4 linked regions of the Daphnia pulex genome follow. The protein of the gene in region 1 binds, or shares a complex with, the protein of each later gene. Links are inferred from orthologs where the notes say so. Each region holds a gene or a part of one and is shown on either strand. Other genes may lie near its edges.

Region 1 (7,465 bases):
TACAAGGTCTCCCAATAAATTTCAGGAACACCAGAGGACTTTAACCTTAAGACACTTGTATGTGATACATGAACATAAATAATAATAGTAATGATTTTACTGTGCTTGATGGAGAGCTATAAAACTTTTCAGTCCTTCCAAGCCATCTGCAAGTTCCAAAGAGGACATTTCCCTTCAAAGTTTAAATTCAATTAAAAACACATTTATTAGTAAGGATATTTTCGATAGCCATGTCATATACCTTTAATGATTAACCACTTTACGTATTTCAGATAATACGAAACACTTTTCAGTTGATTCGCAATTTCGCATATGTCAAAAACAACTTGAATTATTTCTTTCCACGTTGAGAAAGCAGACTGTCGATCGTCTGCTAGGCAGACACCGTTGTCACTTAATGCGTCGAGCAAAAATAAAAAATGCAATTCCAATCCAAAATTCCAACTCCAACAAACCCTAAAAAAGAAAAAAGAAAACTATCTCTCGATAGAATTATATTTATTTTGTCATTTTGTTTTCAAAATTGAAAAAAAAAAACAGAAAAATTTATTGTAAAAGAAATATGACGCACGCGCATATTTTGTAACACCTGCACATGGTTTGTGTCTTGTCTGTTTTGGTCTGGTCGTGGTTTTCAAGTTTTATACATTTCCCAATTCGCATAATTTAAAAAATGGAAAGCAAGACAGGTATCCTTAAATGATTATTATTTTATCCTGACACAAAAATTGTATCAATTTTCTTCTTCCCATTACTTCTAAAATTTTCAGCGTCGATTTCGGGATCAAAAAAGATTTCACTAAAACCCAAAAATGTGAGATCTTCAGCTTATGTTAAACGATTAAAGGTTGCACTAACCAAACAGAAGGTAAATTCTAATTCTGCTCACCAAAGAACACCACTTTCAGCTCCTCAAAGAAAAACTAAAGAGAGAGCATCGATTGCTAGTGATGCAAGACAAAGATTGGAATCTGCACGGTTCAGGTATTTTTTGTTGTTGTTGACAATATTCCAGCCTATCATAACATTTAATTTCAGGTATCTGAATGAAGAGCTGTATACCAAAAGTAGTAGTGAAGCATGGGAACTTTTCCAAGAAGACCCCCAATCATTTGATATATACCACAAGGGGTTTAAGAACCAGGTTTTGAAATGGCCAGTCAACCCATTGGATATCATCATCACTGATCTTATGAAAGGGTAAAATAAAACAAGCCATGTGCTAAAAAATTGCTTTAATTTAACAAATGAAAATTTTTTTTTTAGTCCTAGAAACTGGGTGATAGCTGATTTTGGTTGTGGTGAAGCTCAGATAGCAAACACCATTCCTAATAAAGTTCACTCTTTTGACCTTGTAGCAGCAAATGACAAAGTTACTGCTTGTGACATGGCTTCTGTTCCTTTGGCAACCAAAGCTGTTGATGTGGTATTTCAGCATTATTTATGCATTATAAATTTTGATCAAACAACAGATATTGCTTGTTCAGGTGGTCTTCTGCTTATCTCTCATGGGTTCCAACATACATGACTTTTTAAAGGAAGCTAATAGAGTCCTTAAAATTGGGTAAATGCTACATACAGATTTTAAAAAATAATAATCTTTATTGATGTAATTTTTAAATTACAGTGGTACTTTGTGTGTAGCTGAAGTTGAAAGCAGATGTAGCAATATTAATGATTTCTTGAAAACAATTGAACGTTTTGGATTCCAACTCAAAGAAAATAACGTTCAAAAATACTTTTTTCTCGCAAAGTTTAGCAAGATTCAAAACATGAGTCCCAAAGCAACTATGCCAAGAATATATTTGAAACCTTGTCTGTACAAAAAACGATGAATAGAAAAGTACACATAAATGTTGAACATCATAACAAAGAAACCGACTCATTATATGTTACGAATGTACAGAAACGTATTTGGTTGAAATAGAATGTTTGTTTTAAAAACTGAAAGAAAAATTAGATCACGCGCAGAATTTGTGCATCAACTATTTTGAATGCATGAATGCCAATTCAATCCTCCACATGCTATGCTAACGACAAAATACACAATAACCTACGGAAAAATAGATATTTTCAATTAGATTTCATTTAAAATATTATTCCGAATTTTAGAATGTAGTTCAGGTCGATAAATGGTAAAAAAAAAAAAATTACGAATGAAATAAAGATAGTTATTTAAACTGTAAAACAATTATAACATACCAAAATCACGGCAGCAGTAATTGCTGTTATTTTTATGTTTTTCCAGAACAAGGAATTAGCCAAATTTCGACTTGATTTCCGGAAAGTAACAGCCTAAAAACAATTTAAAATAACTTACTTGGTAAACCAAAGTAAAATTTAAAAATATCTAAAATATACATACTGACGCGCTGAGGCTTTCGGTTTTATTAACCAGTAATTCTAATCTTTCGCCACGTGCCGCTAAGGAATCTAATAATGAGCAAAATTAAATTAAATGGTATTATGTTACTACTGCTGGAGGTTGCAAATTCTTGCTGGCTCGTATTTACACTTTACCTATATTTTTCACCATTACATCTTTCAAGTCGTCCAATTCTCCTTGAACTTGAGAAACGGTATCGATATCTCGAGATTCAGAAAAGTGTTTCTGGTTTTAAAAAAAAAATCTCAGTAATGTCTGAAATAATTGAGAAGAATTTCACGACTTACCATTAGCCCTGCCAAAATTTTCGAAAACTCCGTGTTCATAGCATATGGTAGAGCAGAGTATGCATGGGCTCCAAAAGTATTTACAAATTTCTTTTTAACTTCATTCAAAAATAAAAATGCTCTTGAACGTTCAAATTCCTAAAATAAAGGTTTCTATTTATATATCATCTTCTACAATTGCAGACAATAAAAAAAAGATTTACATCATCTGAGATGCAAAGATAAATTATTCTGTCTTGCAAAATATAGTGGAACAAAAATGATCCATGAGAGTAGGTCATTTTTGAATCATCAAGTCCAATTTGAGCTAGAACTTGCTCTGTGATCTCAGAAAAGTTTCCAGTACAATTATTGGCAAATCTAGCCAAAACAGTGTTTCCTCTACTAACAACACTATATAACAGCGGCATTTTCCTTCTAAAAAATTAACATATGAGATTATGTAATAAAGACTAAATATTTTTTATGGGTCAACTAATCTCATACCAACAAAACTTTCTCGACGATTCAGACGATCTTCAATCCCATCAATAACTTGACGAACGTGTATAAAAAACTGCAGAGAAACTCACGATGGATTACAGAACTTATGAAGGAGCAGATATTATGACACTCAAAAGACGTTGCTATAGTTTTGGATAGTTGTAGGACGAATATAATTAATTTTTGTAAGTATTAAGGATTAAACAACCTATCTTAAATTATCAAATGACAATCCACTCCAGTCAATGACTCAATGTTGACTATTGTCGGAACCACGTTATAGAGTCTATGGTTTGCTCACTCACTAGAGCAGAGCAATAGATACCTGGTCGGTTCTCGGCCGTGTTGGCTTCCCTATCCCGGTTTCAGGGTAAACGTGGTCCGATTTGGAAAAATTGATGAGCGCCTCTAGTGAGTGTGTCAGGTACTACGTGAAGCCAGCCAATCAGGAAGGGTCTATGAAAAACTCATTGACCAATCACAGCTTACTTTTCTACAAGAAGTGAACAAAATAAAAAGGTAGAAGTATCCAACTGTCAAACCTCTAGGTCTTTTCTAAGTGTCCCAACATTCTTACATTTTATTGTTTGGTTGTGTAAATTGTTTATTCTTTGTAAGTGTCCAAACATTCTTACATTTTATTGTTTGGTTGTGTAAATTGTTTATTGTTCCGTTGACATAATACACTACTTCTTGTTTTGAAAATGTACACTTTTCACATTATAATTTTCATTTGGTAGTCGATCCATCGAAATGCAAAAAATCGTTTGTTTAATTTGATCAAAATACCATGTCCAATTCTTTGGTACCATTGATGAAGTTACTAGTGACTGAAATGTCACAAAATTAGACTTGAAATTAGTAGAGCTTGCTTCCATAGAAGGTGATGTAACTGTCGAATCATCAATGACAACAGCAACATTTTCGTTCATTACATCAGGAAGTGGATCAAAAATTGCTTCTTCAGCAGCCTGGTGAGTGTCCATTGATTCTTGAATAGTAGAGGTAGCTTCCATAGAAGGTGATGCAACTGTCGTATCTTCCATGACAACAGCAAGATTTTCCTTGATTGAATCTGGAAGTGGATCAAAAATTGCTTCTTCAGCAGCCTGGGGAATGTTGATTGATTCTTTAATAATTTCCATGGAGGGTGCTATCAGATAAAATTTAAAGCAATTGCTCTTATAAATAAAATGTAACGAGAACTATTATCAATACCTGTACTGTCAAATTTTTTTCTCTTAGACGTAGTAGGTATTTTGTCTACTTTTGGTCGTTTCCTTACTGATGCATTGCTAGCATTTGTTTCCACTACAATACATATTTAAGAATTGCGTTATTTGATATTAAACAAAATAAACATATTTAAAAATACCATTAAGGTTATTTCTCCATTTGAAACCATCAACATTTTGCATTGCTTGTCGACTAGGTGTATCTAAAATGAAAATGGTTCAGTTTCTGTGCTTTACAGATTATACAGGAAATGTAATATCAATACCATTTATCAGAAAATGTTTGGGAATTGCTCCAGCATTACGATTCCTACGTTTGAAAGGATGGAACACGTTCAAAATTTAAATCCCTGATTTGAAGTCACTTTCGTCAAAATGACGGGAGCAAATACGTGAGGTGCTCGTCAAATAACTACATGGAATTAGTTCTCGCCATTTAGATAATGAAGTTTTAGGAATTGCAAACAGGGTAACCTCGTTTTCTTTTTGATTTCCTTTGAAATATGTTGATTTACAACCAGGAACAGCACACCTGCCAACCATTTTTACAGAAATTATGGTTAGGCTTCATTCACGTAATACACGATAATGGCCGCCGTATTCACATATTACACAAAAATGGCCGCCGAAAGTATTATTTGAAAGTCAACGTCTTATCACTAGATGGCGCTGTTTCATTTTTACCACTTCACAACTTCTGACAAGCTCCGCCCTAAAATGTCTGAAAATCGGGGATACGTTTACCCTAAAACCGGGATAGGGAAGCCAACACGGCCGAGAACCGACCAGGTATCTATTGCTCTGACTAGAGTCACTACAGAAAACCCAAAGAGCTCGGCAGTCGGCACCCCAGCGGCCAAACCATAGCAACTTTCAAACAGCGCCTCTCCTCTAAAGTTTTCTCTACTCTAGTCTACTCTATTAAAACTTTATTGAACTTGCTTTTCAAAACCTTTGGGCCTTCTAGAATTATGGAAAAGATGGAGGGAAAAATATATATTTTTAAACTGATAATTAATCCTAGCACACGTTGCTTATTGGCTTTAATACCGGCTTACCCTGTTCCACTTAATCCTAACCCGCCTAACCTATGAGCCCTCCTCCCCAAAAAATCCCAATATTTTGGCTCCTCCCATAAATTTACAAATTTTAAATCTCTCATAACGGAGGCCAAGATATTTGAAAAAATATTGGCATACAATAATAAACAACACTATTAACTTAAGTACCGGAAAGTTTTTAGCTACACCTTTCAATATTAGAGTAAAGGGAAATGGGGGCTTAAAATGTCCCGCTTAATCCCACCCTCCCCTACTGAGTTGAAATGAAAGAATATTGGAATCCTGCCGAAAATTATAACTTAAGAAAAGTATTGATCGTCTAAAACTTTTTTTTTTTTCGATGTTTGCATTGCGCAAGTCGATGCGCATGGCTGATAGCCAAGATGTTTGTAACATTGCGCGATCCCACTGATACATTTACTGAGTGAAGGTCTAACTTTCGAGTGTCTTGAGCCAACTTATCAGCTCCTCTTAATTAACCGAATCGTATTTGGTAAGATCTGGATTTTCTCAATTTTATCAAAACAATTCATGTGCAATAAATTCAAATTCAATGGAAAAATCAAGAAAAAAAATCAAGAAGAACGAGAGGTCATAGATACGAGGAACAGGAAGCTCTTATTAATTGGAAAATATTGAGTGTCGACTTCTTAAATTAAAAATTGGTTCCAATACTTCGAGAGGCTCACCGCTCAAATTTGCGTAATTTTTGTGTAATTTGTTTAGTTTGCTCAAATTACGGGCGTGCGTCTAGATAGACTTAAAATTTGAGTTTTTTTGGCAAGGTGTACGAAGATTTTTTTTTTTTTTGTGGTGAAACCCCTCGAAAGTCTTCACTTTTATTTACTTAAGGCAAATAAAAACCTACAGCAGATTGCCGAAAATTTTTGTACATAACAGATAACACTAACATTCGGATATCTCTTCCACTTCCAAAATTAAAACATCAAATTTTTCGATTGTTTGTTCAGAAAATCATGCTTAGTGAAGCAGAAACTACACCAACCTTGGATGAGCCAAATCTACCGGAATTTTGCGGAGCAACGTTATCTTTAAACAATGCTTCAGGCACTATTTCAAACCAAAAAATCGTAAAGCAAAACCTTTTTTCAAACAACGAAGCAGATCAAATGAAAGAAAGAAAGAAAATAGCTGAACTCCAACCCTGCGGTCCTTCATCAAACTGCGGTACAATTCTATAAGCTTTTTTAAAAATATTATGATGGGCTGACTTCTGACAAAGCTATTGTTTTACTATACCGTAGAAAATGTTCCTTTATCTCCAACTGTTCTCAGCGCTGAAGCTCGTGGTGGTGACGGTCAAATCATCTCACAAGGCTACTTCAGTTCAAGAAATTACATGTTCGCGATCGAAAATTGCAAGAGAATCTTGACTCGAGGAGAACCTGAGAACCATGGGGTTTTCGTAGGAAGTTGGTTGCTAACTATGTAAGACTTTTAACTAAATGTTGTCAAGTATTTTCACTAGCGCTCAAAAATAATTGCAATATTCCAGTACGCGACGAAACACACACGACATTGATTTTGTTTCTTTTTTCGTACCGTAGCTTATTTGAAAAAACCGCGCTTCTTTCGTTTTGAAAAAAAACTTCACTTTCTGATCTGTTTTGTTTCATCTTTTGATGTTTGTTTTCTATTGAGGACTAAAGGGTCGATCACTGGGACAACGAAAAAGAACGACTGATTTTGCTTTATTCTCGAACCTTGTTCATTGTAAAATACGACTTCATCACCACGACTCTTCAAAGCTTCGAGACCTATGCACTCCAGAAAATTATTCACCTTACTATTGGGAATATTGAATACCCAACACACTCAATCACACCGTAAGTTTTTTCCGTTCAAATTTTTTTTTTCTTCAGATTGATGGGCATTGGTTACCAATCAACTGAAATTTGTCACAATCATGTGGATTGCAAGTAAATGTTTCTCTGTGTAAAAATGAGATAAGATTTTAGTGTCTACTTATATCGGATGATTGAAAATTAATTT
Region 2 (7,914 bases), on another chromosome or scaffold:
GCCATCGTGCTCAAGGAGACGCAGGGCCTGATCAAGTGACGGAAACTCAGCAACAATCAAGAATTTGGCAATTCCCAAACAAGTTATGGCCGAATTTCAACAAACAGCACTCCGGTCTCAAACAAGAGCAAGAGAACCAGACTGATCAACAAACGAGGATTAGCGCCCAGTGCGCTACAACCAGTGTCATATTCGTTATTCAATTCAAATCAAATTAAAAATCAGAAAAGAGTCTGGAATAGCGGACGTCAATTCAGAGCATGTGGTAATCGAACAAGGAATCCAAAAATACGGGAAAAAAATTCAAAAGAGCAAACTTCGATCAAACGGACGAGTGAAAGAGAGAGAAAAACGGACCTACCCTATCTCTATTTCTACCTTCATTGCTAATCACACAACAATAAATTTTGTGATTCAAAATGGACGAAAACATATTTGGAGAAGCGGAAAGATTCTTCAATGGTTCTCTCTAAAAAAAAACTCAACTGATTTCATCTTGCCAACAAATTGCAAAAAAAAGCAGTAATATTGTGAACGAATAAAAGAAAGAACTCCTCAAAAAGAAGTTTATCGGGAAAACTAAAATAGTTCTGAAAAAACCTGACAAAAAGGACTTCAACGGAAGAGTCAAAATGAAATTCCGTAAATAACTTTATCGTGTTCAGCCGGCCCAATAGCCAAAAGAACAAGGAAAAGAGATTTCAAACAAAGATAGGAAAAGCTTTTCCTGTTTTAAAATGCCTGTCATTAAGAAACGCAATTACTTCAAAAACAGTATTCGAAAACTTTTCGAATACTCTTTCTTTTCAACGAAAAGATTCTCTATAGTTGCAACACAACAAGAAAATAGATGTTTAAATGTGGGTGAGGGTGACTTACATTAAAAGCGAATCCGGTTAAGTATTGGGGTCTAGAAGGTAATCCATCCATCCAACGACTGGAGTGACGAATGCCAAGAATTTCGTCATTCCGGTGATGACGCCTGGATGAAGTTCTGTCAAAATAAAATAATAGTTTAATAAGCATGTTTCAAAACTTCCTTGAGAGATTAACATAATAAACCGAATACCCATTTAAGTCTGGGTTGAATTGGATTCGCTCATTTGTAGCTATGATTAGGAAACGGCTGATATTAAACGAAATAGAACTAAACGATACGTCAACTAGCAAACTATTCAAGAAACGTTTGGTGAGTGCCCGACTCTCACTCGTAAGACCCATACAGTTTGTCAGAAGGAGATTTTGGATATAATGTATCGAGTATTGTCTGGAACGAAGAATTAAAACTGTTGGTCACCAGTTCAGACGATATTTGGATCAAGGTGTGTCCCAGAATTTAAATGGTTATTTAGAATTGAATGTTTAACTCCTTCACTTTCAAATAATTGAACGCAGAATTGGTAATTGGAAAGAGAGGATCCCAATATCCCATACGCATGATAGAATCCAGTTCTTCTTGTTGCGAATAAATTTGGAGTCCAATTCCCATCCAGCGTAATCGTGCAAAGAGCGAAGGAAAAACCTTTTTTAGTCGGGTCAGATTTCATTCATCTAATATCCCAGTGTCCCAAATCGATTATTTAATTAAGCGTAAGAGCTCAATCGCCTTTTTCTGATCTTTTTTCAGAGGGTTAGATAACGGATCAATTTTTGTTTGGTCGCCAACGGAAAAGGAAATACAACCAAGTTTGTTTTTCGATTGACATTCCCACGATTTGCATAAAATCTTATTTTCGCCAAACAGACGCTTTCTGGCATCGACCGGCTATGAAGGAAAATTGGTTATCTGGTCCACCAAGGTAAATTTGAAGGTAAAACGAGTGAAAGACTGGATGTCTTAAATTTCTCGCAAGGTGTTTAGAACTGGGAACAGATCATGACACCTTTTACCACCATCAGGGTTTCACCACCGGTGCCCAAGCCCAAAACTCTCAAACTAAACCTGCTCAAATAAAACAAACAACAAAAGTAATATCCACCAACAACGTAAAAATAATAAAATAAACTTTCACGAGGAAGCAATGTAGACTCACCATGAAAAGAAACCTCATGGGATGCATATTCTGATGTCTGTCGAAAAAAGATATAAACTGACTGGCACTGCATGGTGCAAAACCCTCCTACAATCCTTTCGTGCCATAGTTGATATTGTCATTTAGTGAAACAGTTCACAAATAGTTACCTTTCATCAAGTACCCAACACGTTACAATTCTAGAATAAGTCAGGCGCCATATTTTTCGTACAAATACTGCAGACAAAGGGATGTTTACCTCATCAGCATGTGTGTCACTTCCAGCCTGGTGCAGATTCAATTCACCACCGAAAATGTTGGTCACAGATTTTGCAAAGGAATCACAATGAACAGTACAATCTTTAAAGTAATATCACGCTGCTCAACACAAATGAAGACGATGGATGCACACTTTCGAACATTGTTCACTGTTCAGTGAACTTGTGAAGTAATGGCAGTAATGGTGTGCTCTCGAAGACGAATAGCTCGTCGTTCATGGGAATGGCGCCAAAGAAAAAAATACATTGCAACGAACTTGGCAAACGACTGGTAGATGGCGGACTAAGTTCCACAACAAACTGACGACGAGGACGTTTGAAAAATAGAACGGCTGTTGAGTGTTGGCAGATTTTTGCTCAAAAATCATTGTCAAACGGTAAGTTAAACAAATAAATTATAAAGAATATACATTACTTATTCAAATCAAAATATTTGTTGTTGGAAACACCGATCATGATGGATATCACGTCCCTGTTCAAGGTCTCCATCAAGACGGTCCGGACACGCAATAAAGCTAGCTGAAAACTGAAGACCCAAATTGCATTTTCCCACGACCATCCAAACATTTTTCAAAATTCCAAACGAAAGCCAAAGAGATTGTCTCAAATGTGGCCAAGTTGAAAGAGTTTTAGACAGCTAGAATTGAAAAGCAATCACGCTCGTGATGTGAGTGAACGGATTAGATAAACAAAATACCGTGATATCGGCAAAAGAGATGCCTATCAATGGACTCTGAGAAAGTTGTTATAATGTATCATTGGTTGTTGAAAGATAATTGAAATCAATTAAGTTGTCGGGAAAATGAAAAGACACGAGTTTTTCAAGTTTACTTTCTTTTGGGGTTATTTCAGTGGGTAAAAAAAATATAGTGGGTGTGGAGAGGAAAGTCGTATGGTGTGAGGTAAGGGGAGTGAGAAAAGATTTTTGTCAAAGGATTAGTCAAAATGCAGTTGCGTATCGAAAATTACAGCTATTTTAGCAACCTCGAGACAAGTTTGAAAAACAAAAAAGATTCCAGACAGAAAAAGTCAAGGTAAATTTTCCTACGACCCCGTTCAAATCCACCCCCTTCTTACCCCCTTGAACGTTTCTCTTTTGTTTTTCAGTTTTACTTTTCCAGTTCCATCTTCTTTAATTGCCACTTCAGTTTCAACATTCTTCGAGGCATCGTGCTGCCAGTCTCTTTAAATATTACTCATCTATCTGCGCATCGGTGAAATTTTTAAGATTCTAAACTCTATGGATATTCCAGCTTTAACGCTGTAAAATAATGTTTCGTTCATTTTAGTTCGCTACTTCTAAACGTGGTTTTACACTTCCGTTCGTCACTAAGGAGAGAGAAAATGACAGATGCTGTAAACTCACCAGGGAAAGGTAAGACAAATATTTATAAACTTGTCCATCGTTTTTAATCAATGTCTGATGTCCCATCCAGGTTTTTTCAAACCAGTTGAGTTCTCAATTACGAGTAAACTAGATGTGAGAAGTTCCAGTTTCCACCCCATCGATCCTGTTCTGGCGTGCGGCTTAGTTCAAGGAGGATTAGTTTTCCTTCGGGGAACTAATCACTCCACACCGTTTGAGAATTGGGAGATTGAACCCGTATACAGCCGATACGAAAGGACAATTTTATCCGTCCAATGGAACGTAAGTCTGTGAATCAAATAATTGTGTCCGTGTTTCACCCCATCAAAATCGTGTGCTAAATGTTACAGTGTTAATCCTAAGTTTCTATTTTTGTTTTTCTGTTTGGCGTAAAGGTCAATGGAACTAAAGTAGCTGCTGGCTCCGATAATGGGACTGTCATTATTGTGTCTTATCCAGGCTGTGGCAAACAAACATTCCGAAGAAATGGACGATCGAATTTCCCGTTAATTTTTTGGCATCCATTTAACCGGGACATGTTGGCTAGTTATAACAGTGCGGTAAGTGAAAAAAAAAAAACAATATTCATGTGCTAACTTAGTAGTTTGTTTAAGTAATGCGGGAAGGGAGAATTTCAAATTAAAAGTCGGTGTACACGAGAAACATTCACATTAATTTATTGTTCACCAGAAATTTTAAGTTTTAAAATTGTATCTCAAGTTGGACACAAACGAGGTGATGATTGCCAATTCAGCAGCTGAAAACCTCCTCACCCACACCATCAAATCAAAATGGAACTGTCAGACCCTGGCCTGGAACTCGCACAATCAACTCGCCTTTGGTTACGACGATGGAACGTTTGAAATTCACGAAATAGAATTGAATAACAGTCAAATGAAAAGCCGAATGGTCCAGAAAATCCGTCACGATCTGGGTGATCATGACAAAGCTGTTCACCATTTTTCGCTTATGAATTCCAGGGACAATTTTTCGCTTATGAACTACCAGGGCCAAACACGAACTTTCGTATCGAGTATCGCCATTAACAAAGAATTTGAACTTTTGGCTTCAGGTGGAACAGACTTTCGAGTCAAGGTATTAGAACTACATACGTTATATTTATTGGATTTTAATAGTCGATAGACAATTATTATTGTCTAAGTTTTTAAATTTAAATGAGTCAATATTTAAACAATTTTAATTGCAGATTTGGTCATTGGGCAGTAAAGATCCTATTCTTGTGTTGGATGTCGATTCCAATTGCAGAAATTTGGTATGGAATTCTGGCATCAAAGAAGAGATGACGACAAAAACTTTTATTGCATGGTTAGACTGCCTAGATTATTTTAATCAAGTTTTAAAAGATGCAAGTTTAAATTGACATTCTAATAACCACAGCTTTTTAATTGGCTTTTATTCAGCGGATTAGAAAGTGGAAACGTTGTAATTTGGTATCCATTTGATCATGAAATTCAGACACGAAAACTTACAGGACATGATCAGATCCATCAATTAATACTTTCACCTGACGGACGCTATCTCGCAACAACAGACTATTACAAGAAAGTGATTATTTGGTCTACAAAGGTAAAATATTTTTGATAGAAATTCTTAGTTGGATCAAACGCGACTCACGTACATTCTTTTCCCGCAATTTCTTTTTTAAATGAATTTTCAGAGTTGGAAGAGCATATACATTATACCCTCATCAGAGTATATGTATCCATACATGATGACATGGGACGCGGCCAGTTGCAAGCTAGCAATTTCAGAGAGAACAGGACAGAGACAGGTAAAATAATGCGTTTCATTCATCCAAATTTCAACAAATTAATGTTAATAAATAACTTCTCATCTCTGTGATTCAAACAGTTTAAAGTGATTGAATACTTCGTTGCCGAAAACTGCTGTGCTGGCTGCAAGAAAATGTCTCAAAATCTAAAGCGTTGCGCTCGCTGCAATTCAATCTTCTATTGTAGCAAGGATTGTCAGCGTTCACACTGGCCCCAACACAAACTTGTTTGCAATCAAAATGAATAAGTTTTGATCGAATTTTCCAAGGCAAAAGATTGAATGTAATCAACAAATTCTTCTGTTAGCAGTCCCCCTCTATGGCATGTATCTGAATTAGGAATACGAAAAATAATCCCCCAACTTCTTTCTCATTTATTTTTTGTTTTCTGTTCAATCAATAGAGCATCAGCAATCAAGGAAACAACAATTGTTAATGCTCTCTTGCAGTGTTGCTCATATATCTTGGAATATGAAAGGTTAAGTTTGAAATCGGTGAAATTTTGTTAATTCTAAATACAAAAGTTATTACGTCATTTGTCATGTAACTCAGCAATTAACAAATTCTTTCGAGATTGAAAACCCAGAGTATACATCTTCAACACGTGTTTGTACATTTTTATTCGTTTCGACAGCGACAAAATGGCAGAAACTTAAATTTTATTATCCAGGAAAAGGCTAGAATACCAACAAAATAATAATAATTTTATATTTTCAAACAATTAAGTTATGAACCATAGGAAATAATAAATAAAAAGTAAATTTCGAATATAATTTTTTTTTAATATTCAAGATTTGAACCGCTATCTGGATATTGATAAATTTTGTTACGTCCATATTTTTTGGGGTTATTAGGGAGAAAATCACGAGCAACAATAATTTTGTTAATAAATAAAAAATTATGAATTTCTGACTTTATATCAGATGAAAATTGTGTAAGACGATGACGAATCCTACTAGCTTTCGCTCCTTCGCAGCGTCGAGAATCTACTTCACGACGGTTCCATACACGATCTAAGTCATACCGGGTTTCTAAATCCGGGGCCGTCACTCTGTAACGTGCCACGTGACGGGTAAAGAGCATATGCAAATACTCATTTCCTCATATCTCCTTATGCGCTTGTATACACCGTATGGTACGCTTTCGACTGTTCGTGAAGGCAAGTGATCACTTCGTCACTATCAATTCGCCAGACGCGCTAACCACTACACCATGCGTGTCCAAATTACTTTCATTATTAAAGGTACACTTTTATGGGATTCGGAAAGTATCCCAATTGCACCGTGATAAAAACAAAAATATTCAGCATTTTACGAAATTATTTAAAATAAATTTTTTCATCTAATAAATTTTTCGTCAACGCACAGCAGAATAGTCTACAAAATAATAATTATTTGTTATTTTCAAGCAAATAACATGTAAGCGATAGGAAAAAATAAATTACAAGGTAATTTCGAATATAATTTTTTTTCAACATTCAAGATTTGAACCATTATCTGGAAATTGATAAGTTTTATTGATCCCGTATTCTTTTGGGTTTGGGAAAAACACAAACAGCATTAATTTCGTTAATTAATAAAAAAATTATTAATTTCTGAACTCGGGTATGGCCTGACATTGCAACAGTCTAGTCATAATTCAACATCTTTATGGCATCAAAGAAGAAAACTATCAAACAATATTCACACCATCAACCTCAAAGAATGTAATAACACCGATAAATCCCTAATTTTTATGCCCGTTACATGCAATTAAACTTAATCGACTTCCCAAAAATGTGAAAATGACGCTTTAAAAAAACTGAAGAATGTCTATCAGTGTGGACTCAGTTGGCAAAGAGGGGCGAGTGAAATGATGAGGAAAGAAGTAAGAGTAAGAGACAGAATTTATTGGCGGAAGCAAAGGATTAGTCGAAATGCAGTTGCCTAACATTAAAAAGTATGGCTCAAATTGTTGGCAAGTTGAGCAACCAAGAAGAGGTGGGGGTACATTTTTGACCCCGGAGACCAGATCCACCCGCTTTCTAAACGCTTCGCTTCTCTTTTGTTTTTCTGTTTCCTCCTCAGTTGCAAACTTGCAACAATCAAGGCAACACGAAGGTTTGTCGTTCTCGTGCTCTCAAGTGTTGCTGATGCTCATCTTATCGCGCCATCGGTGAAATTTTTAAGATTCTAAATTCAAAAGATATTCCCTCATCTAACGACTCCATTCGAGACTCCGAGTTCGTTTCTTAACAACGTGCTTTTACATTTCTGTTCGTCGCCAAGGAGAGAGAAAATGACAGAGGCTGATGTACATTCTTCAGAGAGAGGTAAGACGAAATTTGATTAAACTTGCCCATCTTTTTGTTTTTTAACCAATGCCACACCTAGGTTTGTTCAAAGAAGTCGAGTTCTCATTGACAAGCGGAATGGATGTGAGATGCGCAACTTTCCATCCAATCGATCCTGTTCTGGCATGTGGCTT
Region 3 (7,528 bases), on another chromosome or scaffold:
GAGGAGTTTATGCGTGAGCGTACTCTTACGTGCTCAAATATAAACTTCCATGTAGTTGTTTACGTGGTGACCTCCAAGTCCTCAACCGATAGCTTTGACTTACAAATGAGTTAATCATTCAATCCGGTTTGAGCGTATGTTTGCGTTATTTGTGCTTTGAGGAGAGTTGAATGACCAATTATGTTTTTTTTTTTCGTATGCATTTGAAATGTCACCGTATCGTATACATCAACATGTCGAGAATTTTTGGCTTTGATACAATACAACGTCTTCCTGATTTCACGGTCAAGAATGAACAAGCTGGTTTGCCAAACTAGTTTTGGATACTGCTGCGCTTTTTAATGTAAGCAATGCATATTTTCTAAAATCAAGCACGCACGTTTGCGCAGGTGAATGAACGAAAAATCTTGATTTGCATGACAAGAAGAATCCATCCATCCTACTCAAACTTGGGCCAACTCATCTGTTCAAAAGAAAAGAAAAGGTCAAAAATAAAATAAATAAAAGGTGATGTCATAAAAATAAAAATGATTTGTCTTAAAAAAAACACATCAACTGCTGCTTCAAATTTCAATGGAAAATGTATTAAATGACAAGATACGAGCGGTTCTTGACTCCTCAGAGTGTGTGGATTAGGGGGAATTTCTTAAATTGATTCTTGGTGAGTAATTTTACAATTACCTTTGGCCAAATGTACGGGGAATATTTTTAGAACAAAGTAGAACCAATAGCGATCGAATGAAATTCAGAAAAAAAATTATAAAAAGTTAAAAACTGACTGAAGATTGCTTGAAACTGATTTGAAAATGCTAATTTTCTTTGAGAAAAAAACTGGAATTTGAACATTCATGTTTTTTTTATTTGCTTTTTTTTTTTTTTGCTTTTGCATTTTTGATTCTTCATTGTCTTGTTACCAAATGTTGACAGCCGCGGAGTTGTTAAACCGGAAAAGCTTGTCCGCTAGAAAACGAATGAATAGTCACGCAGCATTGCAGTACAAGAACAATTCTTATGGCAAAGATAGATGATCCTCCTACGTGGTTCGGACCACCGAAGGAAATATCCTTTCTGAACAAGAAGGACTGAAACTATCCGCCAATACAACATAAAAATGTTAGAAGTGAAGAAGGAAGTGCAAAAAAAAAAAAAAAAATGGGCATCCGCGGCTATATTAATGCGTGACTCGGTAATTCCTGATCAAGTAACCAGTAATCTTCGTTCGAGAAAACAACTCCTTTTCATCGGCAGCTAGAAGAAAAATTCAACACAATGAAGTACTTATTGGTATGATCACTGTTACATTTACTTTGTATCTGTTACACCTGTATTATATTTAGACATAGGCCGTAGAATCAATTTAAATGGAATTCATTTGGGATGTAGTGCAGCGATTTATTGAAATAGTATTTCATGTATTCTATTTCCTGAATGATTTTTAAAAATTCGTATTTAAAGCCTTGCCTCTAAGCTACCAAGCGGCCAAAAGCACGGCGAAAGTGATTTTACCAATAACAAATTATGACTGTGTATACTCTTTGATAAATATTTAATGAAAATGCGTTTGATTTCAATAGGTGAAGATTTTTATTGTGGTAGCCATCATTTCGCTGGCTAATTCCCAGCAGAGTGCTTCAAAAACAACGCCCAAAACTGTTAAACAGGTATCGACGACGGCTAAGCCCATGGCTGGTGCTGCTACGACTGTTAAGCGTTCATCGACAACGGTTAAGCGCGCAGGAACAACAGCTAAACCGAGAACAACTACTGTCAAGCGGGCAGGAACAACAGCTAAACCGAGAACCACTACTGTTAGGCGTGGACCTGCACCCACAACTGCCAAGCGCGCATCTACAACACCTAGACCTAGGACCACTACTGTCAAGCGCGCACCTACAACTGCTAAGCGCGCGTCCACTACGGTTAAGCGCACAGCCACGACCAAGAAAGTTTAAATGATTCAATTCCGGCCATCATTTTCTTTGTTGTTTCTTCAATCTTTACATATCTATAGGCCCACAGTTAAACATTCCATCGTTGTTTCGAATATGAGCAGGCCGTCTCTTTCTGAGTAATACGACTCAATTTGCTATTCTTATTTAATTGGCAGTGATATTTAGTAAATATAATATGCAGAAATCGTTTGTTATCAATATTATTTCATTTACGATTTTATTTCCGTACAACCAAATACTATTTGCTTGTGTTTTATAGGGATTTGAAGATTTACGTAAGCTTTGGCAATCAAGCGTAAATCTTGAGACGGTTGTTAAAAATTTTTGGAAAGGAAATAAAATAAAATTAACAGAAATGCTTTACAAATTTATATGTAAAAAAAAATGTTTGGGAACTTCTGTGTTCAACAGTAGAATTACACATGAGTACACTTTTCTAAGTGTGCATTATAATATTGTTTTGGTCTTCCCTCGCTAGCAATGAAAACGGCTTTTCCTAAATAAAAAAAAATAAATTGAGATGAAAACATAATTTTGATTGGTATGACGCGGGAACGATGGAGAACCTAGTACGTAAGTCATACTTCTCTTAGGAGGAATTTGCGACATTTAAAGCAAACCAACATTGTAGAAAGATAAAGTCTATACATAGTAATTAATAATAGTAATTGATAAAGCTGGATAAAGGTTAAAATAAAATGATAAATATTGAACTTTATACAGTAGATAATTAACGTTGGCAACGTTGGGAATTACGGCTAATGTTTGGTATTTTTTCGTCTGCACACACTCTGCAGACAACCCTTAATATGACGTGGCATTCGGTATAGTTTCTTGTCGCAAAATATCTGGCGTTCCCGATTATTTGGATTTCAAAGACGAAAACGGATGAATTTTTCGAGAGATAAATTTTTGACGGATGATTACTCGAAGACGCCGGCAAGGCTCTGAATCGGAGCATCAGCCGCTTGCTGAAACCCAACTGCAAAACCAAGTCCTGAAAGGCTCTTCATCCGTTTTACTGTGGTCGGGAGAAAGTCCTCAACAGCAGCCATCCTTTTTCATTGTTCCGCAGGGTGAAATAGGTGCATTTGTTGCACCAAATTATTCAACAGATAAATTTGTAGATGTTCAAGCAAAAACCAACAGCGCTGACATGATGGCCCTAGCATCTAATTCGAGTTCATCAGTTCTGTCTTCCACCAATGCTTCTTCACGTGATCGGACTGCAGAGTTTCTCTCTGCAGTCAGAAGCTTCCAGAGTAGGCCAGTTAACGGAGTAGTTGGGAGGCCGAGTCAATCACATCCATCTAAGAATACAGATCAACATCAACAGTACTCTGAATTCATGAAAGTGGCAAAGTAAGTTGTCGACTTTTAAGAAAATATTTGCAACTATTGAAAATATTCAAATTTTTTTCTGTACAGAGTTATTAGTAAGGATTTGAGCAACACATATGCAAAACTGGAAAAACTAACTCTATGTAATTAGCTTTGTTTTTAATTTCTACTGTTCAACCAATCATTTCATGGTTTCACATTTATGCTTGCAGTGGCGAAAAAACGAACGCTATTTGATGATCGTCCTCAAGAGATCCAAGAACTGACTTACATCATCCGTGAAGATATCACAAATCTGAACAAACAGATTGCTCATCTGCAAGGATTCATGAAAAAGCAACAGAATCAACAACAAAATACCAAGGCCCATTCAGCAAATGTCGTTGTAGCTCTTCAGTCGAAGCTAGCCAATATGTCTTCTGAATTCAAACAAGTCCTTGAAGTCCGCACTGAGGTACACGCCTTTCCTAGTTTAAAAAATAACTACTAGATTTTATTATCTAGGATATTCAGTAAAATGAATGTTTTGAAAATATTTTAGAATCTTAAAGCCCAGAGAAGCCGTCGAGAACAGTTTTCTGGCTCCGTCCCAGTCGTTTCTGATTTACCGGCTGCAGCCTTGACAGGAGGACCGTTTGGATCCTCTCAAAATGGTTCTAAAGGATCTGTTCTACTCCGTGATGCTGCCTATCAAGCCCATGGAGGAGAAGCAGTAGCTATCGACATGGGTGCCGCTGACAACAGAACCAACAGGAATCAAATTCAGCAGCAAGTGTTTGCCGACGAAACAGAATCTTACCTGCAAAGTCGTTCTGACGCAGTCCAAAGTATAGAATCCACTATCGTGGAGTTGGGCGGAATTTTCCAGCAACTGGCTCTCATGGTTCGCGAACAAGAAGAAATGGTTCAGCGGTAATAATATTAATTATTTTAGAATATGTTATAACAAAGAATTTATGGAAATATTTTTCTTCGTGTAGGATTGACTCGAATGTCGACGATGCCCAACTTAATGTGGAAGCCGCTCATGACGAACTCTTGCGTTACTTTCGTTCCGTCTCTTCTAATAGGTGGCTGATGCTAAAAGTCTTTGGGGTTGTCCTTGTGTTTGTTGTAATATTCGCCATCTTTTTTGCTTGAAAATTATCTAAAGTACGATTTCCAATTCATTTACCAATACAATTTTCGATCCTAATGAATTTAAAACTCACGGTTCGTTTCTCCATTGTGCTTGATTAACGAATGTAGATGTGCCCTCTGACGAAAATGTTGCCCAGCAGACTTCTGGTGATTTTCATGATGAAGTTATAAACTGTGATGTATTAAGAATAAAATTCAATAGTAAAATATCAGAAGAATAAATAAATTCTAATCTATATTTGACATCTTCAATATTATAGCTAGCCAGCTAGTATTTTTTTAAATTGCATTCCAATTCCATTCATTTCCGTCAGCTGTATTTTGAAAGGTTGTTTAGAATCACCCTCTGATCTAAAAAAATACCGCAACAATTTTCCCAAAGTTTAGTACTAGCCCGCAGTTCTGAATCTTCGAGTGTGTGCTCTCTTACTCCGAAGAGGGGCGTCCCTAAACTGCGAAAGCGAAACGCGAAACGCGAAACGCCTAAAATGCGAAACAGCTGTGCGAAACGGACCCAAAAGTTGAGACCCTGTTTCGCATTTTAGTCTTTGGGTCCGTACTAAACTGCGAAATCGGTGTGTGCGAAACGTCGCAGTGTAAACGTCTTGGTAGCAGACGACAATGGACGCCGTCAACAAACAAATTGTTAAGAGTTTCAAATTTTCGAGTTTCGCGCACCTTATGGCTGGTCTATTTGTGTGTTGACCATGAATACGAAATACCTTGAATGCAATATGTAATAGGTGTTTTAATTAGAAGATTGGTATAAAAAAATTAATGGAACTTCTCGTTTCCATACTGTATCAGTATCAATCAGATTAACATTCTTAATTTTAAGGAAAGTTTTAGCTGATTAAATTTTAGCTTGATTTGGAACATGGTAGCTTTGACTTTTAGCTTGATATAAGGCACTCATACTGTTATGGCCGATTCTTTCTTTGTGCACGTACCTACTGGTTGATTTAAATTATTTAATGTAATCCGATGTAATCCCTGGGCCATTACCTAATATTTTATTATTTAAAAATATCACCATAACGTGCTGCTCTATGTCTTTCATTAGTTTAATAATCGTAAAATGCGCATCAAAACATACAGGGGTAGTGGCGAAGAAATCGAATTTGATTGCCCCCCTTCCTCCTTTAATGCCTCATCATAGCAGACAATGAAAAATGGCGGCAATTTCCGTCAATTTGGACCTCTGTGCCTCTGTGGAGAATAGGAAAACTTTTTGTTTCGCAAGATGTTTCGCTCTTTAGTATGCCCTCCGGCATTTGGTCCCGCGAAACGGTCCCAAAATTTTGGTCCGTTTCGCACAGCTTTTCCGCATTTTAGGCGTTTCGCGTTTCGCGTTTCGCTTTCGCAGTTTAGGGACGCCCTCCGAAGAGTGGAAAACTGAAAAATGGCTTCAATGTTACGTTCGGGAAAGTTTTTTCGGTTATTCTCTAATTTAACAAGAAGTTTTGATTTAAATAATGGTGGAAGGAGTAATAATGAATTACTGCTTGGTGCACGTAGAGGAGAATGGGAAACTAATATTCAGAGGTTTGTTGTTTTTCAACTTATTATCGTGTCCGTAAAACACCGGTACCCACGTGACTCGATAATGTTAAATACCGCTAAATTGTATTTTATTTCTAGATCCTTTTCTGCTGCCCAGCTACCATTAAAGAACTTAAATGATAATACTGTTCAGCAACCTCCGATTTCCACAATAAATGATAGTGTAGACAAGGCCATTGAGAAAGCTGAGTTGGATGCAAAAAAATCTGGTCGCATCACAAAAGATGATATTCTTGATATCATTCAAAAGATTAAAAAACAAAGTATTATCTTGTTTCAGCACCTTTAAAACTGACAAAATGTTTAGTGCTTGATTTATGTTTGTTTATCCAGAAACTGCTTCAACTACTCAGAGCTTGCTGCTCATACGGTGTTGTGGAAATCTTGTGCCTGAAGAACCACCTATTTCAAGAACAAAATTAGTTGAAGAAGTATGGAAAATGTTTGAGGGATTTGGTGTTCCACTTGACATTAGCCACTATAATGCTTTGCTCAGAGTATATTTAGAGAATGAGCATTCATTTGATCCCATGAAGTTTATCCACCTTTTGGAAGGGAAGGAAATTCAACCTAATAGAGTAATTTTACCTCAATCAAAATTACTATTGCTTTTGTAATCCTAATTTTTTTATTTTCTAGGTGACTTATCAGAGACTGTTGTCAGCATATTGTCAAAAAGGAGATATTGATGGTGCATCACAAATTTTGGAAATAATGAAAAGTAAAGATCTCCCTATTGGTGAACAAGTATTTAATTCACTTGTTATGGGCCATGCAAACACTGGGTAAACATATTTACAACAGATTGTACATTTTAAAAAATTACAATTAATAAATATAGACTAAAATTAACTTTGTGAAAATGACACAGAGATCTAGAAAGTGCAAAGGGTGTTATTAAAGTCATGTCCCAAGCTGGTCTTGAACCTGATGGCGAAACTTACCGTGCTTTACTCTGTGGCTACGCAAAACATGGACACTTACAAGATGTCACTTCTGCCTTAAGTATTTCATCTTGAAAAAAACTCCGTCACTTTTCTTCTTTAATTATTCTTCTTATTTCATTAGGTGAATGCAAATCTAAGGAAATTGCTATTCATGACAGAAGCTTAATGGAAGTCTTGTACACTGCAGCGGTTCACGGTCACTCGGAAATTGTTGATTATTTGCTGAGTCAAATGAGTAGATTTTCTGGCTACAATCAGGACTGTTTCAACGTTATCCTTCGTTTAATCAATCTTCAACAAGTAGATCAGGCCTTTAAAGTGCTAAAAACCATGAAACCTATTCAGTTAACCAATGGTCAAGTATGATGGTATAAATTTAAAAGATTAATGAACCATAATTAATAAAGTTTATTTGGTAGATGAGTCCGCAAGGGAATTTTTTCATTAAACAAATTATCAAGTCCAATATTCCACCTCAAAAGGTCATTTCATTGTGTGACCAAATTGTGGAAACTGGTTTAAACACCAGAGCTTACTTCACGGCTCTTGAGCTGTCTAACACACTTGGAAAATCAGAAATGTCTA
Region 4 (6,616 bases), about 2.4 Mb from region 1:
TTGAACTTAAGCCACAGTTTTTACGAATTCAACTAGTTCCCGACTGCGGAACAGATTGAAAAAATAAAGTTCCAATGGGATAGTCTCCGGGTCGAAATCCTCACACAAATTCGGGCGATTAGAGTTCAATGATAAGTGTACGGGTTATTCAGTCACGAAAAGAGTGTCGAAACGAAATTGCCGAATCGACAGATTTGTCGATACGGCATGCACAGTCACGCGTGCTAAATGGTGATGGAGTGTGCCACAACCGAGGAGGATGCCAAGTTACAGAAAGAAAAAAGGAAATGAAACATTAAAAGTTTCCGGCTAGATCTAGCAATCCCGTCATTGCGACTCTGGCACGCACACGTAAACACGGGCAAGTATACAAGCGATTTTTTTTCCCCATTGCAAACACACACACATACACAAAAACGGAAATAAACAAATACCCCCATCCCCTCGCAAACCAACTCTTATGGAAGATTGAATAAATATACTTTGATGCCATTCATTTTTGATGAGATGAGCCTGTTTTCAACCGATTGTTATCCGAAGGATGATTTTAGTTATTTTTTTTTCCCCTGCCTTTTTTTAAATTAATTTTTACTTTATTTTAAAGTAAAGGTGGGGCTTCTCAGACGGGTTTATATCTAGCGTCCAACCTAGGAGACGCCGGCGATAGAAGCCTCCAAAAGAAGCAGTGAAATGAAATGAAACTCGACACGCGATATCTTACGTTGTAGTGAGCAAACGAAAAAAAAGGAGAATACTGTAGGTACGGATGAAAGTTAACATGACGAGAATAGCATTAACTAATAAATACCATGAAAAATAAGGGAAAGGGTTCGAAGTAGCCATCTAGGAATTAGACACAGGACACGCAGCATCGATTTCTTACAACTGAATACACAAAGTCCACAAATTTCTATTTCCCATTATCATTGTTGAATGTTTGTGCTTTTGGAATTGTCTGAATGGGGCTTGCATGTTTCAAAGTAAATCAATATTGTGTGACTAAAATCCCACTAACAGTGGGCCTAGCATCCTAGCAATATCAAGAGTTTTCTGGCTGGATGAAATATTACTTTGATGTATCACCTAAAGCAACAATCTATTGCTTGAGTTGAGAATAACATTTCGCAACAATCCTTCTGGGCTGTAGCTAGAGGCACAAGTCATTCAGCTTCGAAGTTTAGCTCAATACAACTTTAGAATTTAGTACAGGTTGAAAACTTGGATGCAGCTTAGCTTATTAGTTTGAAAATATGAATGCTATATTTACAGCCAAGATATTAATAAAATCTTTTTTAACATTTGAATGACGGGACACTTCAGTGAGTCTGTGACTTCAATATTGATTTACACTTTAGCTTAATGGTATTTATACACCCTAATGGAAAATTCTTATTTGTCTAATTCCATAGTCCAAAATACAAATATTTGAAACATATACCCTTTTAATTACAGTAAATTTGAATTCAGACTTGACAGTGGTGCTCAGCATCCAGCTGTTGCTACGTGGATATATGGTACGAATCGATTTTTCATTTAAGACTATACAGAATCAATAAATGCACAACTTACCCCATTTTAACTGTCGATGTCGAAGCACGAACAACTTAGAAAAATCTCAGATTTCGTTGGCAAACGCAAAAACTTTAAATACACGTATAGCACGCCATGACACAGGAAGAGCTTCTGTCAAATGGAACTGAAAGCCAGAGGTTGGGTTCGTAACTCCGTCTGCGTACGAAGGCCGCTAGGAAATCCTTTGCGCACGCAAGGGGAAAAAAATACTGGTCGCTATGCGCATGATTATATTTTTGTATCGGCTTTTACACAAATTCAAGGCACTAACACTATTAGTTACATTTTTGATGAGGTATGTTAAGAATTTGAGGACAATAATTTCAAGAAAAAAATTTATAATAAACTAAACCTGTCAAAATGCATATCTCCAACAGAATGATGACAATTAGGACAAGCTTATTAGTCATAGCAACACGAGACATTGACTTAAGGATTCTTCTACTTCTTCCCAGCTCTGCATCCGTTTCAGTCAATCTATCTCTTGTACGAACAAGCACTTCTCTTTGTTGACTTAATTCTTGAATAACTCCAGTGCCAATCTCTTCACTTTCTAAAGCAACCTGAGTAGTTCTGTAGAGGCTCTGTGATGTTCTTTCCAGAACTGCAGTTCCTTGGCGAACAGTTGTTTGAAGAGCATTATCAATGCCCCGGTTTTGGCTAAATGCAGCAGTGGATTGGTTTTCCAACAGTTTTCCTCTTGATGAGGCCAGAGACATTTCTGATTGCTTGGAAGAATTGATCAATAGAGCAAGTTTGGAACAGGTGTCCTGATGTCTTCGTACTCTGAAGTTGGATGATAAAAAAAACATTAGTTGAAATTTTACTACATGTATTGTTTGCTGTGTAAACTTAAGACATTCACATTTTTACCTGCCAATCATGTCCATCCTAAAAGAGCCAGGAGCTGCTCTAGCTTCAGCTTCCATTTCAAATATTGCTTGTTTAGCTTCATCTAGTCCTCTTTCGACATCGGCAATAACTTGCTTTTTTTCTTCGCCAAAACATTGTTCTAGCTTACCGGAACACTTTCTTTGCAGAATTTCGAACAAAACTTGTACATCTTCATCCAGAGTTTCAAATTTCTCTGAGCTCATTTCTGTTTCTTGTAGCACAATTCTGAACCTATTTGAGCACTACATACGATACCTTGCTATCAGGACGAAGACAAGGAATGTATTGTAGACTTGACGTATAAAACACCATCTGACAAAACATTGAAGACAGCGCCACAAACGGCGAGAATTAGCATTTCCATGACATTTACATTTAATAGCTAATTATTAAGATAAATTAAACACATTTCAGCCTGCAGAAGGTTTATTCAGATGTCACAGAAAAAACGTCATACAGGCACAGGTTCAATGATGTCACTCATTCCTTCTTATTTTTCTTCCCCTTTGCTTTCTTGGCTTTCGATCCCTTATCAGCAGCTGATTCGGGAACAGAAGCTTCTTCTAATGGGATAGCTTCAACGGGAGCAGCAAGAACCTTTTCCAACGGCTTCACTTCCGGGACAGCAATCGGTGTTGGGGCAGGAACGACTGGTGGCGATTTTCCTTTTACAGGAGTAGCGACTGGTGTTACCACCTTAACTACAGGTTCAGGGATGGTAACGATTGGCGGAGATGGTTCCTTAGCTGGAGCTAGGGCAGTCTTCACCTCAACAACGGACGCGGGTGTTACATCCATCGGTTCTACTTGCAAATCCTTTGCAGCCGTCTTGGATTTCTTGCTTTTCTTTGTTTCTGGTGGTGTTGGCTTAGGGGTTTCAACAGGAGGAGGTTGAGTTGGTTTGACATCTTGGACCGGTGCTTGAACGGGCGCTTCTTCTTTCGGCTTTTCAACAGGTAAATTTGGTACGGGTACTACTGACTGTAGAATGGATATACAAATTAGAACTTGGACTATTTTCCAAATCAGATTCTCACTACGATGGACAACTCACCAAAAACATCTGTTGATTAGCTCAATAAACCATGCTGTGTGCGCTCACTCGCAGGCTAGGCAGCTACCTTCTTGGTAGCACTCGCCTGTACATGTTAAACAATGTGGCATGCATTAAGTTACGTTCACATGCGGTAATACAATTTTAACAATTCAAACAGAAATCAAACGAAAAACTATCTAAGACATACAAACATTCACAGAAAACAAAATTACCTCGCGCTTCTTCTCGAGCAAAGCAGTCTTGCTCTTCTTCCGGGCCTCAGCAACAGCAGCGGCAGACTTCTTAATCACGGCGGAGTACGGGTTCAACTTCATCAATGCTCTCATGTTGGTAAGAGGATTGCGCTTAACAGATGCACGACGGATCATCTTCCTGTAATTTAAATTGTATCGATTAGTCATCTTTGCACCAGACAGTATCACTTGAATGATAAACTGCGTTCAGATTAATTTGCTAATCACAAAGATTCATAACCCAATGCTCTAAATGTGGTTTTCATCATTAATTAATCAATAATAAAGATTAAAAAGAAAGCTTGCCTTGGTCGTCTGATAACCTTCTGGATTTCATCAGACTTCAACAAACGAGACAAATCTGTTCCGGTCATGATGGGCTGAGGCAAGTTGTAGTTGCTCTTCAGCTTAGACTTCTGACGCCAAGTACCGTAGAGGGCGTTCAAGCGTTGGAAAGCAGACTCGGTCCAGATGCAGAAACGGCCAACATGACCACCAGGAGCAAGCTTCATGAGGTTCAGTTTGTTTACTGAAATCATAGAAACTCCGGGGATGTTACGGAAAGCCTTGGTCAAACCCTGATCTCTGCCATAGATGACCAGTGGACCCAATTTGCTGGTACGGCGACGGTTGCGCATCTTACCCTTACCTGCGCGGAAACGCCTGGTCTTGTAAACCTGTAAGAAATCAGATTAATTAGACGGTGTTCACACATAAAATCATTCATGACTCAGATTTTGTTCAGAGCTCTAAGGTGAAATCATTTACTCATAAACACAGACCAAGAAGCAACTCATCATTTTCCCGTGATAATTATACATAAATATCTAGAAACAAACCTTCTGGACATCAGTCCATGCGCGAAGACGGCGCAACAACACGACGGCCTGTTTGGTTTTTTTGTATTCTTGAACCTTGTCCGACACAACCAAAGGCATCTCCGGGACATCATTGATCAAGTGACCTGAATGTAAAAACATTTTAGTTCTAATTCAATATGACCTTATTTACTACTATCATTGTATGGATCAGGGACTCATGGTATGACTTCATGCTTGTCAGAAACACAGGAAACACATATTCATCATGCTAGTATGGAACCGTGCAATGATGATCTTGGCTCATATTTACCTTTGGACATCACCAAAGACGGAATACCCGAAGCAGCGACGGCCGAGCACAATGCAAAACGTTTCTGGTTAACGTTGATCTTGCGATGCCAACGGCGCCAGATCTTGGTGGGGGCAAACATACGTCCACCACGACACATGTTACCATAGGCACCCTGACCGGAGCGATGGGTACCACCTCCTCGGACACGGGGAATACGAGCCACAGCACGACCAGTACCCCATGATTCAGCACTTGTCTGATGACCTGTAATAGGAAAGAAGAAGATTAACAATCACACCATTACATGTGTGTATGAAGTTTGTCCGGTTGCCCAACCCCTCACTTTAAGAAAACAAAGCGAGAAAGGCCTCAGGGACTCGCTTTAGTGTTGCACACTGCACAAGAAGAGTCTGACGTACAATTACTCCTACATTTCAATGCTGTGTGCCATATAATTGGCATACAAGTTACCTGCTTTCTCGCTGACACAATAAGGGTGACGACGATTCATTGACATTTGTTGTTGAACAAAGCTGACAATGTCTGGCCTAATGGGAGCCCTGAAGATTGCAGGGAGCTGGATGCTGGTTCCAGAGGCCTCAGCCTTCTCATTGTAAACGGTAATCAACGGCCTCGCGACCACCTTACTCTGTAAAACAAAATGGATAAACAAATTAGATTTAAGATTTTCAAGAGACAACACTTGAATTTACACAAACTTTGAACTAGATGTACCAATTAACCAAAACATAACAATAAACCAAGAACGACGTTGAATTAACATAGAAAAACAGCAAGAGCCCATTTGACACGAGGACGAAACCACGCTGTGGGTAACATTTTACTCCCAAACTTTCGCCATAGATTAACAAGAAAATGGCTTAGAAAAATATACGCACGCAAGAATTTTCTTAAAACACGTTTCTCCCGTTAACCTTTTTACTTACTATTCGTAAATTAATGTATGTAAAAACTAGTAAAATGTTTGGAGAACCTCATGCTTACCATCTTGGTAGATAGTCCTGACCGGGTAAAAAGGCGAATGAAAGAGACCCACAGTAATGGCGACAAAGAGGAAGTCTACAATGTTGCCGGCATACTTTGAGAATTGCCGCCCTCTACGTTCCGTTTTTTACTTGATTATTTACTTGAAAAATTACAGATTATTCACTGAACTGATCCACTGTTTAATAACAAAAATTATGGAGTTTCAATTGATGATTTCAAACATTTTAATGGAGTGATTAGTTATAAAATTTTTAATATTGTTTTATTTGTTTCACAATGCAACGGTGTCCAAAATATTATTGAATAAAATTTAATATACCAATTTATTTTCATATTTTATTCATTTAAAGGAAGTTAATGATCTTTATTCATTATCAAAAAGTAAGTTTATGAATAATTAGACATAATGAAAATCAATTACTAAAACTGTGGCTCATATTTATTAATCCAGCAGAAAATCTGACAATCTTGCTGACAACAGACAGTTTGACACAAATCACAAAATGCCGATTCCGTCAACAAACATTTCCACGCCGAACGAAAGGATTTTGGTTGACGATTTACCATACGTTGACCAAGAATATGGAGATCCAACTCTACGAGAAGCGGTAAGCAAAACTTATACATTGCAAACTTTGAAATATTTGAATCGCTTCGAATTGAGGCTTGGAGATTCTTGTGTTAGCCTAGTCATCTCTAACATCAATACATTATTGTACTAGACCATAGTACTGTATGT

Evidence for each region.
Region 2: vesicle-associated membrane protein 7-like (region 1) and syntaxin-18-like share a complex: the UniProt entries of both Homo sapiens proteins name them as parts of the SNARE complex. The link is inferred for Daphnia pulex from reciprocal best matches to the Homo sapiens genes VAMP7 and STX18.
Region 3: vesicle-associated membrane protein 7-like (region 1) and syntaxin-5-like share a complex: the UniProt entries of both Homo sapiens proteins name them as parts of the SNARE complex. The link is inferred for Daphnia pulex from reciprocal best matches to the Homo sapiens genes VAMP7 and STX5.
Region 4: vesicle-associated membrane protein 7-like (region 1) and vesicle transport through interaction with t-SNAREs homolog 1B-like share a complex: the UniProt entries of both Homo sapiens proteins name them as parts of the SNARE complex. The link is inferred for Daphnia pulex from reciprocal best matches to the Homo sapiens genes VAMP7 and VTI1B.

Annotation. Positions count from the first base shown.
Region 1 is NC_060018.1:6,534,756-6,542,220, reverse strand, and holds vesicle-associated membrane protein 7-like, read right to left. Parts: upstream 3,452-7,465; 5' UTR 3,365-3,451; intron 3,230-3,364; 5' UTR 3,160-3,229; intron 3,091-3,159; 5' UTR 3,084-3,090; coding exon 2,877-3,083; intron 2,812-2,876; coding exon 2,674-2,811; intron 2,612-2,673; coding exon 2,521-2,611; intron 2,434-2,520; coding exon 2,366-2,433; intron 2,296-2,365; coding exon 2,203-2,295; intron 2,054-2,202; coding exon 1,982-2,053; 3' UTR 1,836-1,981; downstream 1-1,835. Other genes in the region: tubulin--tyrosine ligase-like protein 12, read right to left, coding at 1-45, 101-168; ribosomal RNA-processing protein 8-like, read left to right, coding at 674-689, 771-1,200, 1,267-1,426, 1,488-1,564, 1,628-1,835; uncharacterized protein LOC124188813, read right to left, coding at 3,843-4,309, 4,375-4,467, 4,532-4,574; tumor protein p63-regulated gene 1-like protein, read left to right, coding at 6,430-6,640, 6,718-6,901, 7,123-7,299. UniProt on the Homo sapiens protein: Involved in the targeting and/or fusion of transport vesicles to their target membrane during transport of proteins from the early endosome to the lysosome. Required for heterotypic fusion of late endosomes with lysosomes and homotypic lysosomal fusion.
Region 2 is NC_060027.1:1,469,277-1,477,190, reverse strand, and holds the start of syntaxin-18-like, read left to right. Parts: upstream 1-2,634; 5' UTR 2,635-2,667; intron 2,668-3,377; exon of another isoform or gene 3,378-3,504; intron 3,505-3,579; exon of another isoform or gene 3,580-3,634; coding exon of another isoform or gene 3,635-3,665; intron 3,666-3,726; coding exon of another isoform or gene 3,727-3,938; intron 3,939-4,051; coding exon of another isoform or gene 4,052-4,216; intron 4,217-4,376; coding exon of another isoform or gene 4,377-4,751; intron 4,752-4,863; coding exon of another isoform or gene 4,864-4,982; intron 4,983-5,077; coding exon of another isoform or gene 5,078-5,243; intron 5,244-5,334; coding exon of another isoform or gene 5,335-5,448; intron 5,449-5,528; coding exon of another isoform or gene 5,529-5,696; exon of another isoform or gene 5,697-5,983; intron 5,984-7,492; exon of another isoform or gene 7,493-7,725; coding exon of another isoform or gene 7,726-7,759; intron 7,760-7,820; coding exon of another isoform or gene 7,821-7,914. Other genes in the region: F-box-like/WD repeat-containing protein TBL1X, read left to right, coding at 3,635-3,665, 3,727-3,938, 4,052-4,216, 4,377-4,751, 4,864-4,982, 5,078-5,243, 5,335-5,448, 5,529-5,696; vegetative incompatibility protein HET-E-1-like, read left to right, coding at 7,726-7,759, 7,821-7,914. UniProt on the Homo sapiens protein: Syntaxin that may be involved in targeting and fusion of Golgi-derived retrograde transport vesicles with the ER.
Region 3 is NC_060017.1:4,340,089-4,347,616, forward strand, and holds syntaxin-5-like, read left to right. Parts: upstream 1-2,717; 5' UTR 2,718-2,871; coding exon 2,872-3,314; intron 3,315-3,380; coding exon 3,381-3,436; intron 3,437-3,505; coding exon 3,506-3,747; intron 3,748-3,834; coding exon 3,835-4,205; intron 4,206-4,273; coding exon 4,274-4,433; 3' UTR 4,434-4,671; downstream 4,672-7,528. Other genes in the region: proteoglycan 4-like, read left to right, coding at 1,270-1,284, 1,575-1,952; leucine-rich PPR motif-containing protein, mitochondrial-like, read left to right, coding at 5,836-5,978, 6,075-6,259, 6,330-6,574, 6,636-6,781, 6,868-7,001, 7,065-7,303, 7,363-7,528. UniProt on the Homo sapiens protein: Mediates endoplasmic reticulum to Golgi transport.
Region 4 is NC_060018.1:4,115,462-4,122,077, reverse strand, and holds vesicle transport through interaction with t-SNAREs homolog 1B-like, read right to left. Parts: upstream 2,784-6,616; 5' UTR 2,670-2,783; coding exon 2,446-2,669; intron 2,359-2,445; coding exon 1,896-2,358; 3' UTR 1,786-1,895; downstream 1-1,785. Other genes in the region: homer protein homolog 2-like, read right to left, coding at 1,570-1,574; pre-mRNA-splicing factor SPF27-like, read left to right, coding at 6,381-6,485; uncharacterized protein LOC124189006, read right to left, coding at 2,947-3,447, 3,736-3,895, 4,063-4,433, 4,596-4,720, 4,888-5,133, 5,341-5,518, 6,442-6,473. UniProt on the Homo sapiens protein: V-SNARE that mediates vesicle transport pathways through interactions with t-SNAREs on the target membrane. These interactions are proposed to mediate aspects of the specificity of vesicle trafficking and to promote fusion of the lipid bilayers.